Caenorhabditis elegans: one gene and its partners. The protein of the gene in region 3 interacts with the protein of the main gene of each other region in a pairwise test. Each region holds a gene or a part of one and is shown on either strand. Other genes may lie near its edges.

Region 1 (4,852 bases), on a different chromosome or scaffold from region 3:
ATCAGTTTCTGAAAATATCGAAACTCCGAGTTTTTTAGCGTCGATGCACCATGCTCCAACACGAGCTTTCCCCCCCCCCCCCCCCCCCCTCCCCCAAACCAGCAAAAAGGAAAACAAGAAAAACCACTAGAAGCCATGTAAGTCAGCTATCAATCATTGTGTCCCCGTCCCTCCGTTGACACTTGATTCTCGAATTTTCACTGAGCTTCTCTAGACTTTTGCATTTTTAACATGAACCAATATGTAGATCCTATGCTAAAGTTTTTGTACCCAGAAATTTCTGACATTTTTTCAAATAAAATTTCACATTTTTCGGCGCAAAAATATAAAAAATTTTTGAAATTTAAAAAGTTCAAATTTTCGAGCTTTCTCTACATTTTCCAGAGGCTCGAAAAATTGTCTGCGCTCTCATCTACTAGTATTTTTTGGGTAATTCAGTTTTCACCCAAATGTAAATTTCACCCACTCTCCTTACGCCCGGCTCCATTTGATTTTGTTTCATGTTTCTCTCCGTCTCCATGTGCATTTTGGATGCGGCTTCTCCCCTTTTTTCGACGCAGAAAAGGGGGTATAACATTTCGACTTTACGGGATTATACGCTTTTTCGTCTCGCCTTCTTTCTTGTTTCACTTCAATGAATACAAGATTACCCACACATCTCTTGAAATTAAGAAATGTTTCGTTTTAAATTCTCCAAATAGCTTTAAATTTTGAGGAAAGTTCCTAGCTCTCAGATGTGCTCAGCGATCTTAAACCTAGTAATGTATATACTTTTCTGATTTTAAAATTTGAAAACCATGACTGAAAAGGCCCGAATAGTTTCTTTCGTGAGTTAGTCTTTTTTTTTCTTCCTTTTTTTTCCTATTTTTTCTTCAAATTTGATTAGACATCTTCCAGTGTCAAGCCATAATTAAAAAGTGACGTTTCTTTTTTTTTTTTTGAAAGTCTCTTCTTCTTTGAAAAAATTTTGAAATTTCTTCTTTTAAGCTCGAAATGCTCCAAATAAGTATTCACATTTTTCTTTAAAAAAAACTGTAGCAATGAGAGATTTCAAATAGTCCAAGTCCTGAATTTTTCGGTCTCGAGCTCGCGGAGCCCAGTGTCTTTCAGCTCTAAAAAGCACAAATTTGAATTTTTGAGGAAAATGAACACAAGTATCAGAATCAGCGTGTTTAGTGTTTTCAGATAATATTCATATTGTCCAGGTTCTGAAATTTCTGGGTTTTGGCTCGCGGAGCACCGGCAAGAGCCCGTTTCCAGAAAATCGACACTTTTTGGTGCTCCGCGAGCCCATTCCTCAAAAATTCAAAGTCTAGCCATGTTTATTCTTTTCTAAACCGCAAAATCTAGGGGAATTCAAAAATTCTAATCACACAGCCTAAAAGCTTAAACTAAAAATGTTAGGCCACCAACCTTGCCTCTAAACAATCTCAAAATTTCATCAAAAAGTTTGTGGGGCCCCTTAGGGGGACTGACGTTCTCGCTTTTCAAATTGATGCCCCTATTCCTCGCCACTTTCCTCCATCTTTTTTCTCTTTATCTCTAAGTTTCTCTCTGTGCTCTCTCTCTCTCTCTCTATTCACTTCCTTAGCTTCAACCCCTCCAGACACTTTCCCCTTTTCTCCTTCACCCACAAAATGTACATTTCATGGTTTTTTTTTTTGGTTTTTGAGTTGTTTCTAGTTATTTTTAACTCTAATTATGGGTTGAAAAGGTCTCTGGGGAAATTTTAAGAAAATTTGTGGCTTCTCTCTGACATTTTGCTCTTTTTCCCCCTTTTTTTGCTCACGAAAATCCAATTTTCCAGTTTCAGAAAATGAATTTCTTCAAGCGAAAATTCTCGTTTTCCGAGGATGAGGGTGAGCCAATGGATGACGTGAACTCGGGACCGCCGAGCTCTTTTTCATTTCAGTCGATTGCTAATAAGGTGTCTAATACGATAAGGTACGAAATTTTAAAATAAAATAAAAAATCTCAAATATTTGTGTGCTCCGTGAGCTCGGCCGGCTGGGAAGACTCCAGTTTAGAAAACTTTGAAAGTTTGAATTTGACACCCACATAGCTTGGTTTTTAAAAATTTTGAGTTTGGAGCTCCCGGAGCTCACAGAGCAGCCGATCCTCCAAATCTCTAAAATTCCAAACCTAGGCCGCCTTGAGCTTTTTAATCTGAAAATTCAAATGAAATTTTCAAAAACCTTTTTTTAATATATTTTTCCCAGTTTCCAGTCAATTTTGTCTGACAAAAATTTAAAAAAAGAGCTCAATATGCTTCATTTTCCAGATTTTTCAAATTCCAGTTCAGAATTGTTGTACAGCCTGCCAATAGCATCAATTTGACACCCATATTGCTTGGTTTAAAAAAATTTGATTCTGGAGCTCCCGGGCTCACAGAGCCGCTCATGCTTCAAATCTCTAAAGCTCCAAGCCTAGGCTTGTTTATACTTTTCTGAACAGGCTCGAACTTTTTTGTTTGAAAAATTGATTCTAAAAGATTCTTATCAGTTCAGATAATGCTCGCGGAGCACAGGAATGCTCCAAATCTCTTAATTCTAAACCTGGGCTTGTTTATACTTATCTGAACCACCTGATCTTTTCAAATTCCAAAATTTCACCAGATCATTTAAAAAGCTCAAATTAAAAGTTTTATTTCAAAAAATACACAAATTCTCAAGAAAATTTGTCATCCACTTCAAAAAAAAAAAAGAAAGAACCAAAAAACCCGCTAGCGAAAACATTCATTAAAATTGTAGTGTGCGGCTCTTTTGAGACTGCCAAAGATAAAAAAAAAATAAAATATAGTGTAAAATGAGAGAATCGTGGGAAATTTTCCTCAGAGAATTTCCTTCATTTTTCCCGAGAAAATGCAAATCTGGGTATCTCCATGGAAACCCGCACATTTTTTTTCTATATTCTGTTCTGCTGCCAAGATAACATGTGTTTAAATCACTTTGTCAGATATGTTCACTTATTTCAGTGCTCCAACGTCACCTGCCAAGTCTCGGGAATCACTTGCCGCTGCACTGGAGAGGTCACTCAATCATGATAGGTTTGTTAGCTGGAATTTTGCTTTAAAATTGTTCGAAACAAAAAATTAATAAAAAATTTGAGTTTGGCTCAAGAGAGAGCTTTCATTTGAGTATAATCATGACATGTTTTGATCAAATTTCAAAACTTAGCGATCCTGCCGCGAAAACCTGGGAATTTTCGTGATGGGACCCAATATTTTATGACAAATTTATAAGAATTGAACAATTTACAAACGCACATCAAAGATTTTTGCTTTAAAAAACCAATTTTTATTTATTTATTTATTTACCAGCCGTGGACCGCACCTTCGGCGCGGCCCCCGACTTCTGGGGCTGAAAATTAATTTTTTATGAAACTACCGTAACCCTACAGTATTCCTACCGTACCACTATTGTACCACTACAGTACCCCGACTATATCCCTACACTAACCCCCAACTCACTATCCCTCCAGAAGCTAAAACTTCGCAGACTACAAAGACTACATAGACTACAAACTATGGACAAACGGAATAAGCGCTTTATATATAGTAAATGATTTTGATTCAATTATTTGTATTAAAACATTGTAGGGGTCGAAACATGCGACATTGCTTGGGATTTCCTCAAGAGCTCATATTTTTTCGAAATTTTGGCAATTTGCCAAAACTTTGTCCGGAAATTTTGAAAAATCTAAAATTTTTTAGAGTTTTTTGATGTGATACTCGGTTGTCTTAAATCATTATAAGTGTATTAAAAAAAAAAAACAAAAAAAAATCCACTGACGCTACTCCATCTTTGAAAATTGGTCAGTTTTATTGATAATATATCATAAAAAATTTCACACCCGTAAAATTGCTCGAAATACAGCTTTTTGCAGACATTCGATTATTTTAAATATGTACAAGGCTAGGTAAATACTCTGGTAACATTTTGGAAGTTTTAATTTTTTTTGAAAAAATTATTTTACCATGCGAAAGGCTTACTCAGGTTTAGGCCTAGGCTTTGGTTTAGGCTTAGGCTTAGGCTTAGTCTTAAGCTTAGGCTTTCGCGTAGGGTTAGGCTTAGTCTTAAGCTTACTCTTAGGCTTAGGTTTAGACCTAGGCTAAAACTTATGCCTTGGCTTGGCGTCAGTGACGCTATTTAGGGTTAGGATTACAGCAGCACTGACGCTATTTAGGGTTAGGATTACAGCAGCACTGACGCTATTTAGGGTTAGGATTACAGCGTTTTTTTCATTTTTCAAAGGGTTCCCGTTGGCCGATCAAAGCGAAATTTAACACAGAGACGTATAGGCCACTAAGAAGCTTTCGTGTAAAATTTCAAATTGATTCCATCAAAACTCGCCGAGTTATGAAGCTTAAGGTGTTTTCAAAATGACCCTCAACTATTTTTTTAAATTTGAAAGTTTGGCGTTTTGTCAGTTTTCTGTCTAAGCTCACGAAAATTTAATGACAGGAGGACGGCAGTGAAATAAGTTTTCTTGTGAATTTTGAGCCAATTTCGATTTACAGGAGCCGAGATATTAAGCTTCAAAATCCAAAAAAAAATGACCCTCGCTCCGCCCCTTTTTGTCGACAAAAAGATTTCACTTTGAAAACGCGCGTGTAACTTGACGGTGGGTGGATGGATTTTGATGCGGTTTTTTGCTGTCTTTTCAAAAAGCTTGCCCTACCTCTGTATTCTTTTTTTCAGAAAGATTGGAGCTCATTGAGCCGAGATATTTTGAGTCAAACTCAAAAATCGCTATTTTCCGTCATTTTCGGGTGGTTTTAATTGAAGGAAAATTCGAATACTTGAGATTATTTCACGATTTTTTAGGGGTGTATACAAATTGACGAGGGCTT
Region 2 (4,631 bases), on a different chromosome or scaffold from region 3:
GAAAGGTATTCCCTGACGTACCGAAGTTTCAAATTACACACACTCTCGGCATCTTTATACAATATCACTCTTACTCTTTGAACTCTCTGAAACATAATATTTGATCTTTTGATACATGATTTTCAGATTGAATGTGGAGTTCCACTGCTGAATTACAATATGGAAAACTTACAAGGTGTTGGATAGAAAAAAGTAAGAATGAAAACAGTTTGGTTCATATAAGTTTATTATAAAATAATTTGTTTTTAACTGAAAAATTGTCAGCTTATGTTTTTACCATTTTTGGGATTCATCTCATTTTGAGACCTAGAAAGGCAATATATTTTAATTTTTAACGCGACTGGGGCATTTAAGTGTCCTATATCGTTTTCCACATTGCTCTATTCGGCCAAGTCTGGTAGCTTATTCTCTGGTTTCTTTCTAAATAGGAAATTATGCAGCTTATTGTAAGATGAGGCCAATCAACTAAATTGTTCTTTGACCCAATGCTAAACCTACATAGTTGAATTGCAATGTGGTCATAAAGAACCGCGAAGAATTGACATTATGAACGTACAATGCAGATATCATCAATGAAACCATGCACAATGCGCACGCCGCGATTTGCAAAAATGTGCACATCATGATCGTCCTATTGTGACAGGTCTATAAATCCATTGCTTTCGAGTTGCTCAGTTTCAAAGTGGCATTTTCATTTAACAACTTTTGAAATCCTTAATACTCATACAACAACCAGCGACGTCATTTCCATCCGTTCCCAAATTGCTCATTGATTCCGATTTCAAAATACTCTCAAATATCCTTTGTGAAGCGTGTCTCGTCAACTTTGCCTTCGCCCTGCAGCTCTTCATTGAGAACTTTGTAAAAATTTTGGGATCTTCAACGTCGACGAGAAATGAAGAGTTAGGTGGGAAGTGCCATCCCATCCACCTTTCTCCTCCTCCGCAAAATCTGTGGGCAGCTCCGGGGGGCTCCCGGGACATTCATCTTTCCCATCTTTTTTCGTCGTTTCGTTCTCCGACTAGCGACCAGGAGGCGGAGAAAGAGCTTAGCAGCAGAAGAAGTAGAAATTACAACACCTTCGTGAAACAGAGAAAAAGATAAAGGGAAAATGGGACTCTAACAGCGACCTCTTGGCACTTTTGTCAGTTGGAAACTACAAGCGAGACATCATTTTTCTCCTCTTCATATTTTTTGTTCTCCTCTCAAATTTGTTTTTTTTAAATTTATTCTTGAGTGCTGATCTCAATGCACAAAAAACATGACTAAAATCAACTGTTATATGTACAAAAAACCAGTGATTCAATTTTCGAAGCATTTTTCAACCTTCAACCATTGGTCTTTTTGCCTTTTTCTTTTTTTTCTCAGCATTATAAAGTGTTTTCCCTCAAAATACTGTTGACACATCTTGTCTAGATCTTCTCCAACATTCCCCTACTTGTGCTTGTTCATTGAGAACATAAAACATTGTTTGCTTAGTTCTCCCACCCAAAAGCCACTACGAACTACCGTTCAAGAAGTCTTTCGTCTCCTATTTTCCTGTGAACTCAATGGATAAATGATGGTAAAAACACATTGGCAGATCATTTTTCATTCGCTCTTGGCGGCGCTCTTACCTGATCAGAAAACACGCCCCTCTTTTCTTTTAGTGTGTAAAACTTTAGGTTACCGAGATTCCGTATATTCATGGCTTCGTATTCAATCATAAAACTACAGATTTTAATTTTTTCAGATATGGCACCACCATCAATTTACGGAGAACCAAAAATTAGATCAGAGAACGGGTCGGTGTTCCTTGAGGTACGAATTTGCTTTTCCTTTTGAAAATTGCTAAGTTTTCTTCCAGGTCATCGTCACTGGAGCTGATGTTTCTAAGATTCAGTGGTTTTTCGGACCAGACGAGCTTGAGGAGAACGAGTTCCTGAAGTTCTCAAACAGTGACGAAGGAGGCAACCGCACCAAGTTTGTTGCCGAAATCAAGGTCAGTTTGAGAGCAACTGTTTGCCAAAGCATCTCGTATAAATCACATAAAACGACTCACGAGTCATTTTATGGTCCCATTGCTGCGATGCGCTCTGCAACTGTTGTCTGTATGTGTTTTGATCTGCGTTTAATTGGTTTTTGATGGACTTACCGTAGATTTTGGGCAAAAGTGCGGCAAAAGCAGAATTAGCTGTCGGTCGGGAGGTGAAAAGCAAAACATAACAACGGTTAAGCATTTGATCAAAAGGAAACTCTAAGTACATTCATCATTACAAAATACTTTTTACTTTACTATATTCTTTATTTTTTTCGTATCTCACATTAAATATACATCAATAACGTGAACTGTAATTTTGAAAATTCAGTAAACATTAAAAAAAGCCGTGCAGTTTGAACTTCACATTAGGAACTATAATTGTAAAAGTTACTAATGATAGTAGTAGTTGAAAAACAAACCACATAAGCTACATTACTGGTAAAACGGAAAAGCAACTGAAAAACTGTCCAACGGTCCAAAATGCCGCAGACTGAAAAAAAAAACTGATGTCCGCCGGTGGTCTGTCTCCATGTCAGCCAATAAGCCGATTGTCGACCGCCCCGGTCGCAAATTTCGTTTTTCTAAGCTTAAAAAAAAACTCCGAACACAAAAACGATTTTATCAGCTGCCATTGGGCCGCTTCTGAGCAATCCCGCTTTACCTGTGATAAAAAATAATCGGAATTATGAATTTTAACTGTTAACAAAACACCTTTTTGCTTCTTTAAATCATCATTTTATAGGACTTTGATAAACCACTTGCCGGAGAATACAAAGCCGTCTTTGCCAACGCCGATGGAGAGAACAGCTCTAACTTCACAGTCGCAGCAGGAAGTGAGCTCATTATCAAAAACACTAAAAGCTTACACATACAATTTCAGACGCCCCAGACTTCCATGACAAGCCACATATTGTTCAAAGAGATAACGGAAATGTGATTGTGATTAAGGTCCGCGCAAAGTCCCACCTTGAGATGAAGGCCGAATGGTTCAAGGTATGTCTGTCACCTTACTTTGAATCTTAGGGGAAAAAATTTCCCTGAATTCTTATTCGGTATTTTTCTTGGCATTGCTAAATTCATTTTGGTTGAACCAGAATAGAGCTTCTCGAAGATGGATCGACTGACTGACGTGTCTTTTTTCTTTTGTCTTCTTTCTTCCACCGAAGAAAAAAATGTAGTTGTCCTAATTTCCACATTTATGTTAGTCGAAGTGAACCTCTCCGGCTTTCTCAAGGGGATTCAAAATAGAAAGGCAGAGATGGGTAATGTAAAGAAGTGTGGAAATAAGACAAAAGTTGGGAGGCCTCCTCGTCCGCGCCTTTGGGTTGTGCCGAGACAGATACTTGAGGCTCATGGAGCAGATAGAGCGAAGTTTTGAGTAGTGAACAAAAAAGAGAAATGGCGCAAAAAACTAAAAGCAAAAAGGTTCAATAAACATTAAAAGAATTCACTTGTTGTCTGGTTCAAAATGTAAAATGAAAAATGAAAAATGAACATTTCAATGGGCATGCTTGGAACCAAGTTTGAGTTTTTTTGGAATGCTTTGATAAATAAAATTAACAAACTTGTTTTGGAAAAAATTTTCTGAACGACCGTCTAGTATAAATCATTTTTAAATTAACAGAAAAAAAGTAAATTTCATATTTTTCACTAATTCATTCTTCCAGGATGAAAAACCAGTGAAATTCACTGACCGAGTTAAGGCTGTTGTAAAGAAGGACGATAAGGACAAAGACGGATTCCAATTCCTACTCGAAATCACCGGACCACAAAAAGACGATGAAGCAAAATACAAGTGCGTTGTCAAGAACTCCGAAGGACAAAACCAACAAGCGTTGAACTTGGTTTTCGATTAATTTTATAAATTTTCCCTTGGTTTTTAATTGTCATACAATTCAATTCATAAAGCCTCAAATCAATTTTCATGTTAATCGTTGCTTCTGATTTTCGATTTTGGTAGTTGCACTTTCCGCTTTTTTTTCTTCTGTAACTTTTAACGTTTTGTAGTATTTGTCTTCTCAAAGTAATTTGAACTTTGTGTCCCATGCACATGAATTGGTATCAGCCAAAATAAAAAAGTTTCTTGACACATTGAACATGAGAAGATATACTTGCAAGTACAGAAATCAATATATATATATACAGTGCTGGCCAAAAAGATATCCACTTTCAGTTTTTTGACGATTTCGATATTTTTTCCAATGGGCATAACTTCAAAACTAGGAAAGGTACCAAAAAATTTTCAACTGGTAAAATGTAGCTCGTGATCAGGCCTATGTATTTTTACATGTTGCAATTATTCATCCATCACATGGCAAGTAATAAAGCGGCGGGCATCTCGTGAGTCCGTTTTTGACGATGATTACTAAAACGACTGTAACTCAAGAAACATATTTTTAATGAAAGGTTTGAGAAAGTAACAAAATGTTTATTTAATTTTTCATTGTTTGAACATATCAACTTTGTCCTAAAACCTCCATTTAAAAAAATGTGTGCGCTGAAACTAGTGTCTCATTAGACACTGTTTAGAGGCTTTGTTCAAAAATCAGGTTTCTTGGATTGAAAATCTTTTTCCGACAATTTTTGTGAAGAACTGATGTTGTTATTATAT
Region 3 (4,602 bases):
TGAATGGTTAGCTTCGTATCCCCCAATAATGTGTATAAGCCTCTAAACTACAACGGCAAGCTCAAAAATTACATTCTGCAAAAAAAAACTAATCAACTTTTTTCCAGTTTATGAGTTTTTGAGCTGAAGTGTTTTGTGCCAATCACCAAACAAGACTTGTCCATTTTTTGTTCTGAAATCGATGTTTTAGACTGTATTTCAAGCTTATATGATACACTGTCTTGGGAAAATAGGTTATTGAACCATCTGACTTTGGTTTGACAAAAGCATAAAAGTGACAAAGTCTAATACCTCACAGTTTTGAAACTTTCGTTCAAGACTGTAATAATTATTAATTAGAAATAGCTAACTAGAACCGATATACATAGGTACTTAATTCTATATATCTATATACCTATATAATTATATATATACCGAATTCTATAACACACCATGGAATTTTACCATATATTCCCTTTTTAGTACGTTTATATCTCGGTTGTCTTTGATCATATTTCAAAAATTCAAAATTCAAACGACACAATTTTTTTCAAATCTATCGTTATGCTTTGGTTTTTGAAGGTATCAAAAATATTTTTAAACCGTTGAAATATGAGCCGACAAAGTCGATTGACGGGGGGCCATACTAATAGGGAATGTACGGTATATATAATTTATGTACATATATGTATTATAACGTATGATAACATTCATACACTTCCTTTTTTTGACTAACTCAATTGCATGGAATTTGAATTTAAGACTACACACATTTTCCAAACAATTACTATTTTTCTTCTCTCATATCTCTAATTACTCCGATACTATTCAAAAATTCAATTCCCCATCCCCCCAGAAAACCCCAAAATTACTCCAAATTCCACGCATCCCAAATTCAATTTCCTTTACATGACCCCTTTTCCCCATTCTCCTACCCTTCTGCCTACCAATATGTCGTCAAATTCAATGTCTGCGTACCCGATATATGCGTATGTATTGAATGGAATAACACACCATTTGACGACATTTTCCCCGTTTAAACTAACAACTTTTCAAGGTTGTTTATTGGATTTTGCAGGGTTTTGTATGGGAAAAGTTCAGGATTTTCCTATAAAATCAATATTTCTTTGGAATTTATAATTGTTTAAGTACTGTGATAACTACTTAAATAGAACTTGTTTTATTTGAGTTTGTTAAAATTTAATTTGTTCATAATGTAACCGCTTTAAACGGGGCTTTTTTACTATTATTAAATTTAAAAGTTGACCTATTATAACTTTTTCTCAATAAGAAGTTTCAATTTTCATACTAATTACTACTTCTATACAGTTTTTTTCGATGTTACTTTAAAAAATTGAAAACTTGTCCTTATAAATTAGAATTTTCTGGTTATTCTTATTATTTCTGTTGAAATTGAACTTTAAAACGTTTTCAATTGTTCTTTGAGTTAAAATATTAATTTTTATAACAAAATTTAAAAAAAAAACCGCAGTCTTCAAAAAGCATAAGAAACAAACTGAACTTCATTGCTTTTTCCGCTTCTATTTGTATATACGATTAGCCTCTATTTACCCTGTGATTTTTGATTATTTTCTTTTTGTATATAACAACTTTTATATTCCAGAATGTCAGAGGACCCATCATGGTACAAGACCTCCATGTCAAGTACGTCTTCTTGTATTGAGGAGGAACATGAGCCTGTCGATCAGGATGAGGAAGAGGTTAGTATTTTTGTTTGTTTCTAAAAAAAAAATTAAAGCTTTATACCAAATTCTAACAATTTTTTTGTTGGATATAGCAATATAATGATGTTTTTCAAGTAGTGTCGGAAAATTAAAAAGTTTAGAAAATGAACGTTACCGCTGTAAGCATGTATTTTAATACTGTTGTGACGTCATAAATGTATTTAAATAAGGTAGCTGTTATACCGTCATCACGTACAATTTTAAGAATTTATTTGAGCTTTCACACTACAATATTTCGATACGTTTTCAAAATCAAAGCTATAACTAACTGTAACGCTATGTCCTTTGTTATACGTTACAACGTTTTATTACACACTATAATATAGATTTAGCCTGATTTCAAATGTTATAAATTATACGTTATCAACAAGATTAAAAGGTTAAGGTTATAGTATCATATATTAAAAAAACGTTAAAATTTTAATTGAACGATCATATTAAAACAACGTTTTTACATGTGTAACGAATTATAACGTTAGTTTTTAAAATAAAGGTTATAAAGTATCGTGTAATATTTTTAAAAAAAGTTAAAACGTAACGTTAAGTTAAGGCTATACATAGTATATTTTTCGTAATAAGGTATAACGTTTTAAAGGTGGGGATATTGTCTAAGTACACTTATTATGATCCAAAACGACCAAATATCATAATATAACACAATTTTAGATTTTTCATAATTTCCGGCCTAAGTTTTGGCATATTGCCAAAACTTTGAAAAATCAGAGCTTTTGAAAAAAAGTCCAAAGGTATGCCGCATGTTTCGACCCCTACAATGTTTTAATACGAATAATTAAAACAAGATTACAGAATTAAAAATGTAGAAAAACAATTTTTTTTTGGTCGACTTCCAAAATTATGAGTGGCAAAAACTCAGTAATTGTCACCACTTTTTGACAATAAATAAAAAATTTTCAAAAATTTTTTGAAAAGTTTTATTATGATATTAGATCATTTTGGGACTTTTGGTTTTTAACAACTTCCCCACTGGCACTACTCCACCTTTAAGATGTATGTTTTAACGGTATAACGTATAGGGTTAAAAGCAACTTTAAATTAAGGTTTTTACATAGTTGAACGATTTTGTCCATTTTTGTCGCGATGCTTGTTCCACTAGCAAAAACTGAACATGCTCACACTTTCTTTGAAAACCGCGAAAAATTAATGCCAAAAGATAGAAAACCATTCAAAACGCGTTTACTACCCCTGAAACAAAACGTCTAATAATATGAGAGTCAGGTCAAAAATAAAAGAGACACTTTTCTCATTCTCCTCCCATCCACTTTTTTCTCGTTTTTCAACATAGTGTAAATGAGAAATGTGTGTGTATGAAAAAGAAAAAGAGCCTCTTCTTCTTCTTCTTTCTTCTTCCACACAACTTCCCGAGGGACCCCCTTTTCCCAGTTTTAACCAGACATTGATATCATGCCCTTCTTAGAAGAGAGAGAGAGAGAGAAGACTCTTTTTGTTTCTATTCAACTCGTGTGTCGCTTATTTGACTTTTGATGTCTACTGGTAGCCTAGTTATGAGAAAAATTACAATAGATTTTAGAATTCTTAGGCTGTATGGGTACTGTAATTTATCACCTATAGGAAAAATTGATAGCATTACATATATGGTTTTAAATTACTCATAATTTGGGGTAGATCAAAAAAGAGAAACTTTTTAAATTGGTATCTAACAAATGCTATATCTATATAGTTGATTTATTATTTTCCAAGAAGTTATGAAAAATTAGTCTTTCACCATTTTTGATTCGGCAAAGTTTAGCGGTAATTTACATTCATGAACAACAGTTGCCAAAAATGTTTTTCTGCATCTTATAGTGAATTTTCATATTATTTTATAAGTTTCAGGAATAACAATTTAAAAATTTGTATGTATAGGCAAATACTGTTTGTGGTTTTAGTTTCACCGTTATAAAATAAGTAGTCGTTTTCTTAATATAAAAAATTGGATTTTTTAGGAAATTGATAATAATGGTACGGTTTCTATGTAGTAGCTGCGGTCCAAAACTTTTGACCAGTTTAAAAAGTTAAGCTTACAATTAGCAAATGCTTTTTCTATACTTTGGTTTAGTTGCAACATAATTAACAAAACTAACTGTTTTAAATCTAAAATTACGGCAATTTCTGTGCAGTTTTTCTAAAACCTAAAAATCACCTATTTTTGATTGTTTATAATTAAGTAGCAAGAAAGTGTCCTAGCCAAAAAATAGGAAATTTCTTGCTCTTTCAGACCAGTATACTAACGTCTCTGTACCTACGATATTCATTTCAAAAATCTTTTTCTAAAACCTAAAAATCACCTAATCACCTATATTCCAGATGTACAACCCGAGTGGATGCACGTGGCAACTTCTCTCCGTCTCCTTACACAGAGTATGTTTCTTTTTGTTTATATTTTAAACATTGTCTAATTCCTCCCTGACCATAAACAAAACCCGTTTCCCATTTTTTTTCTCCTACTCGGGTATAAATGATTTATCGTCCATGTATGCAAGGGACAATTGTGTATAGGTATAGGGGTATACATTCCGTTTAGGCAATCTGTATAGAAATTTCCAGGTAAACTCGTTACTTGATACAGGTCGAATGTCAATTACCTGTCAACCTATCTATTTAGCACAGTTACAAATATATGTACATAGAAGAACTATTTTCTGATAGTGAGTCGAAAATTTTGTTATTTATACCTTACTTGAATTATGTGTTGAGTTTCTAAAAAAAACTCCCCTAACTCGGTTAAATTTCGGATTTTCATAAAAATTATCTACTAAATTCTGAGCTTAATTAAAAATTTATTATAATTTCCTAAACTAGGGTGCCAAGCTGTCCTCAGCACACTCTTAACCATGCGAATCCAGTTTAGAAGCCTGCG
Region 4 (4,610 bases), on a different chromosome or scaffold from region 3:
GTGGATTGAACAGTCTGCATGTAGTTGTACAACGAGGGAATAGCGACGATGGCAGTCAAAGTAGCCACGGTACTAAAATGAAATTTTTAATTTAAAATTAAATTGAAAAATCAAAGAAAAATACCTGATGCAGATACCGAAAAAGGCAATCTTGCGAAGGCCTTCAGCTTCTTGCATCAACTTCTTCTCGTCTTGTTGGTACATGCTTGTGTTGTTCGAATCTAATGAGGAAACGATGCCATTTGCCATTCAAGGCGGCGCTTATATACCCAACTTTAAACTGTCTAACGAGCCGCTTCTTCGCAACAGGTCACTACTGAAAAAACGGCATCGGCGCCGTGCCTTATGCAGTTCAGCGTAACAAAAACACGGTCTGCGTCGACGGGCTTGCATTCGGCGTCTCGTACCTTTTCAGTATCTCTTCCCGCGTTTTGGTTTTTTGTGAGCGCAAGGTTGCCGATACGCGTTGATTTTCGATGAACCTGTGAAACAACGATGGTATCTCTGTGGATGGAGATAGAAATCTTTTTTTGACGCCTTGAAGATGTTTAAGCTGCGAAAAGAATATTTCAAAGCGATGGCAAATTGCATGATTCTCGATACATTACAACCTAGTAAAACATGATTTAAGACTTAAGTTTTTGTCTGTGTGAATGGGTGAAAGCTTTAGATCGGTATCGTTTTATTTGTTATCTGTAGTAATCTGTTAAATCTGTAAGTTGATCAAACACCGAGGTTAGTACTTTCATTGTGTTTGTGGGAAAGCCCAGCCAAAGTAAACAGAAACTAGTTCAAATTTAAACTACCGCCTACGATATGTGTCATTGTCGAAATGAGTAATGAGTAAATTTGAATAAATGTGCAATTTTGAAATTTTGTGATTTCATCGAAACTGTTACATCATATCGTAAATATTTTGCTCTTTCGTGTATATCCAACTCGTCTTTTTTGGCTCTCGTGCCTACTACATACTCAAGTTCCTTCATGCCTTCCTGTTTCAATAAGAACATGTACAACCAGGTAGCGATTTGTTGTGCCTACGTGACTTTTTTGTGCTGCTCAAAATTTAACAAACAACAGTTTATTTTTACGACTCTAAGTATTACTCTTTTGGATTTATTTTCAGAAGTTATTTCATATTGCTCAAGCCTAGTAGAACTGAGACTAAACTTGATCTTCGCAGATTTTTAGTCTAATAGTTATAGAAAATTTTCTGCCAATTTACCTAGAAAAACAAAATCATGTTTTTTGCCAACAATGTCCGGGAACTATGTTTCTATTTGTGTGCGCATGTGCTCAGTGGCTTCTTTACGCGCTATCCGTGCCGTCCACAAAAACCTATCCTAATCATCTCATCAATTTCCGTTTTTTTTTCTTTCGTTTTTCGCACCTCATGCTCATTCATTATCGGGCGAGAAAGAGATATTTTGTGGCCGGCGATTAAATGCGATTATCACTCCCCAGAGACCGCAAAAGTCGAGTAGTTTTCCCGTTAGGAGCACCAGACTCCCTCCCGGGGGCCGGCTGGCCACCGCCTCTTCTTTTTTGAGCAAACAATAGGAAGGAGGCCATGCTCCCACCCCTGGAGACCCTCCTGGACATTCAGTACGTAGTCCAACTAACGAGGTATCTGCCAACGACATCAGCATGAAAAATACTGTTTTGATATTCTTAGTTCTATTTTTTATTCACACGGTATTTAACTTTTTTCTTAGAAAACTGAAAACTGATTTTTTTTTTTGATATTGTACTTAAATGTTCTAGCAATCTTACTTTTAGTAGCACAATAAAAGTATATGTTAGTGTTTTAGAACTATTTTGATTTTTAACTGAAAATTATTAATCATAGTAAGAACAAGGTGAAAAACCAAAAATTAGATGAAAATTGTAAACTTGCACCATAGCCAATCACTTTTCAATAAATATTTAAGTCTAAGTTCAAATTCTAGACTGATGCGAAATCCCCAACACGAAGCAAACGCCAATGCGGATGTTCATCGAAACCTCAAATGGCTTGTAAATGTTCAACTTCTACAAACATCTCAAATCGTGTATGTTCATGCTCCCCACTCCCGTAAGTATCAATTACTCGTCTTCCTGCCTAACGTCCGTCCAGTTCCAGTTCAACATCTTCTTGTGGATGTCAAGCTTCTTCTTCGTGTGCCAATTCCTGTCGTTCCACGTGTCGACCGACTTGCTCGTCTTCCGGAGGATTCGGATGTCGTATGAATTGCCAGAATACGTGTGTAAATGCATGTAACAAACAATTCGCGTAAGAAATCTTATCTGCATCTTTTGGCATGAACACCCTTGAAACGCCTTTAAGATTCTCTAATGTCTAAAATTGTAATATTTTCAGGCCGACTTCATCCTCTTCAATTGTTCAAATTAAAAACCAACCATCTGTAATTCGAGCAGTCGCTGGAAAATCATGTCTTTCGGGTTGTAATTCACAGGTTTTATTTTGAATATGAAAATCATGCATATTAAAAGTATTTAGTGCTCAAACGTTTGTCAACAAAAACAGTACAGTTCGTCGCAATGTGCAAGCTCTTGTAATCGATCGTGCTCTCGAGTTTGTCAATCAAACCCTTCAGCAAGCTCTTCACAATCACAAACAACAACACAGACACCATTGAAGGTATAGTTTTAATTTTTTTGTTTTTTTTAATCAGTAATATATTTCAAAAGTTAATATTTAAATCTGATATTGCAAAGCTAACTATTTTCCAGGTGAGTATCAAAGTACTGGATGATGGAGCAAAATGCATGTCTACTTGCTCGGACACTTGCCGTTCTTCTTGCTCAAATAGAGTTTCCCAATCCACGTGCGATGCTACGTGCCAAAACACTTGCTCTTCGATGTGTCCATCTCAATCACCACAAGGATCACCACAATTACCAACTCAAACCACCACTACTAACGCACCGATTAAAATAAAAATCCAGGTTTTCCATTCATTTTTTCTATCAAAACAAATTATCTAATCAGGTTCAACAACAACAACCACAGCAATCTCCTCAAAACAGTCCTCAACAACAGGCGCAGCCACAAGCATCACAACCAATTGCACAAACTACTCAGACAATTCCTGCCTCAATTCCTCAAGCAGCGCCTCAGCAACAGGTGTGTTGGTTGAAAAAAAAAACTGCCAAGTGACTTTTTTTGCATATTAGTCATCGAGGTCATAAAAAAAACTACATTAAGAATGTTCGGAAAGTTCTTTTCCCGTATCTAAAACCAGAAGTGCCCATTTTGTATTGCAGGAGGACCGAAATCTGGGATATATTTCTTAATAAATCCGAATTTTTCACTGATTCCGAATATGTATTTTAAAAAGTCAAAAACATTTCACTGATTTCGTTACTCCACCTTTAATCCTAAAATTGTTTCAGTTTTTCTTTAAACGTTTGTAACATTATTATTAATTATTGAAGTAATTTCAGCCAAATTGCATGGCCCAGTGTCAAACTGGATGTGCAAATTCGTGTGCTCAACTTTCACCACAACCAACCGAAGGCTGCCCAACAAATTGTAGAAATACATGCAATGAAGTTTGTGCACCAACTGTGGCTTCACAACCAAGTACACAAGCCCCACAGTCATACCCAGTACTACTTGATCCCCAGCAAAGGTGAGTGAATATTATGTGAATACTTCAAAGTTAAACTCTTCAGATGTTCTTCGGAGTGTCAATCAGTTTGTCAGCTAGCCTGTGTAACTCAGAAATCAGCTCCTCCATCTAGTTGCCTTGACAAATGTTCTCCACAATGTGACTCTGCCTGTACAAGTCCTCAAGTGCAACGGAACTCTGCACAACTTTTCACACCTTCCGCCGATCAAGCACCTGCTTCATCTGCTCAACCAATAAAAATTAATATTTCGCTTGCTCCGTTGAAACCATCGGCTTCAACGTCATCTTCACCATCTCCTACCTCTCTTTAAAAAATTAAATTATTTATTTATTTAAATGTTCATCAATATTTATTGCCATGCTTGTTCCCGTTGTCTTTCAAATTTTCGACTAAAAACCAAATTAAAATATTTTATTTTCGAAAATATAATCCAATAAATACAAATATTACTGCGCTTAAGTACAATTGAAGCTTTTCAACTGAAAGGTTTTGAATAGATACTATTCAAAAAATTTTGTGAACGAGAAAAAGAAAACCCGAAATTGAAGCCAGAAACGTTACAAATTTAAAAATAATAAAACTAACAAGGAAACACCCGGTGTTGATTGGAGATTTTAATAGCAAAAAATGCAAATTTTTCAAACAGGTGGATTATTATCCGGCGGTGATAAGGCTCTTGGAGCTGGTGCTTTAACAAATTTGCCAACCGTCGAATTTTTGCTAGATTTCTTTGAAATGATAGATGTTGCAGAAGCTGTTGATGGTCGCGAGTCTGGTGCAGCTGTACTAATTGCAGAGACTGTGTGTATAGATGGAGAAGATCGAATGGATATTGATCTGAAAATTTATTTCCATTTAATTGAGTTTTAATTTTTGTCTTGCAATTTTTGATATTCTATTATATTACAAGGTTTAAAAATCCTGGTTACATTTTCAGGACTGTGGATCTTTGGTATTTGCAATGTTTTTAGATC

Evidence for each region.
Region 1: the proteins of zoo-1 (region 3) and snn-1 interact in a two-hybrid assay, tested with the Caenorhabditis elegans proteins (one large-scale study listed by BioGRID).
Region 2: the proteins of zoo-1 (region 3) and zig-12 interact in a two-hybrid assay, tested with the Caenorhabditis elegans proteins (one large-scale study listed by BioGRID).
Region 4: the proteins of zoo-1 (region 3) and M195.2 interact in a two-hybrid assay, tested with the Caenorhabditis elegans proteins (one large-scale study listed by BioGRID).

Annotation. Positions count from the first base shown.
Region 1 is NC_003282.8:1,812,061-1,816,912, reverse strand, and holds the start of snn-1 (ATP-grasp domain-containing protein), read left to right. Parts: upstream 1-1,813; 5' UTR 1,814-1,816; coding exon 1,817-1,944; intron 1,945-2,974; coding exon 2,975-3,046; intron 3,047-4,852.
Region 2 is NC_003284.9:8,762,175-8,766,805, forward strand, and holds zig-12 (Ig-like domain-containing protein), read left to right. Parts: upstream 1-1,732; 5' UTR 1,733-1,734; coding exon 1,735-1,800; intron 1,801-1,846; coding exon 1,847-1,981; intron 1,982-2,762; coding exon 2,763-2,853; intron 2,854-2,900; coding exon 2,901-3,013; intron 3,014-3,158; exon of another isoform or gene 3,159-3,304; intron 3,305-3,687; coding exon 3,688-3,876; 3' UTR 3,877-4,106; downstream 4,107-4,631.
Region 3 is NC_003279.8:14,527,928-14,532,529, forward strand, and holds the start of zoo-1 (Tight junction protein ZO-1), read left to right. Parts: upstream 1-1,601; 5' UTR 1,602-1,604; coding exon 1,605-1,700; intron 1,701-3,004; exon of another isoform or gene 3,005-3,053; intron 3,054-4,049; coding exon 4,050-4,103; intron 4,104-4,602.
Region 4 is NC_003280.10:8,359,142-8,363,751, forward strand, and holds M195.2 (Activated in Blocked Unfolded protein response), read left to right. Parts: upstream 1-1,611; 5' UTR 1,612-1,647; coding exon 1,648-1,695; intron 1,696-1,949; coding exon 1,950-2,074; intron 2,075-2,122; coding exon 2,123-2,272; intron 2,273-2,347; exon of another isoform or gene 2,348-2,359; coding exon 2,360-2,456; intron 2,457-2,500; coding exon 2,501-2,641; intron 2,642-2,733; coding exon 2,734-2,949; intron 2,950-2,992; coding exon 2,993-3,127; intron 3,128-3,447; coding exon 3,448-3,635; intron 3,636-3,678; coding exon 3,679-3,946; 3' UTR 3,947-4,085; downstream 4,086-4,610. Other genes in the region: col-77 (Nematode cuticle collagen N-terminal domain-containing protein), read right to left, coding at 1-72, 125-204; amt-3 (Putative ammonium transporter 3), read right to left, coding at 4,275-4,473.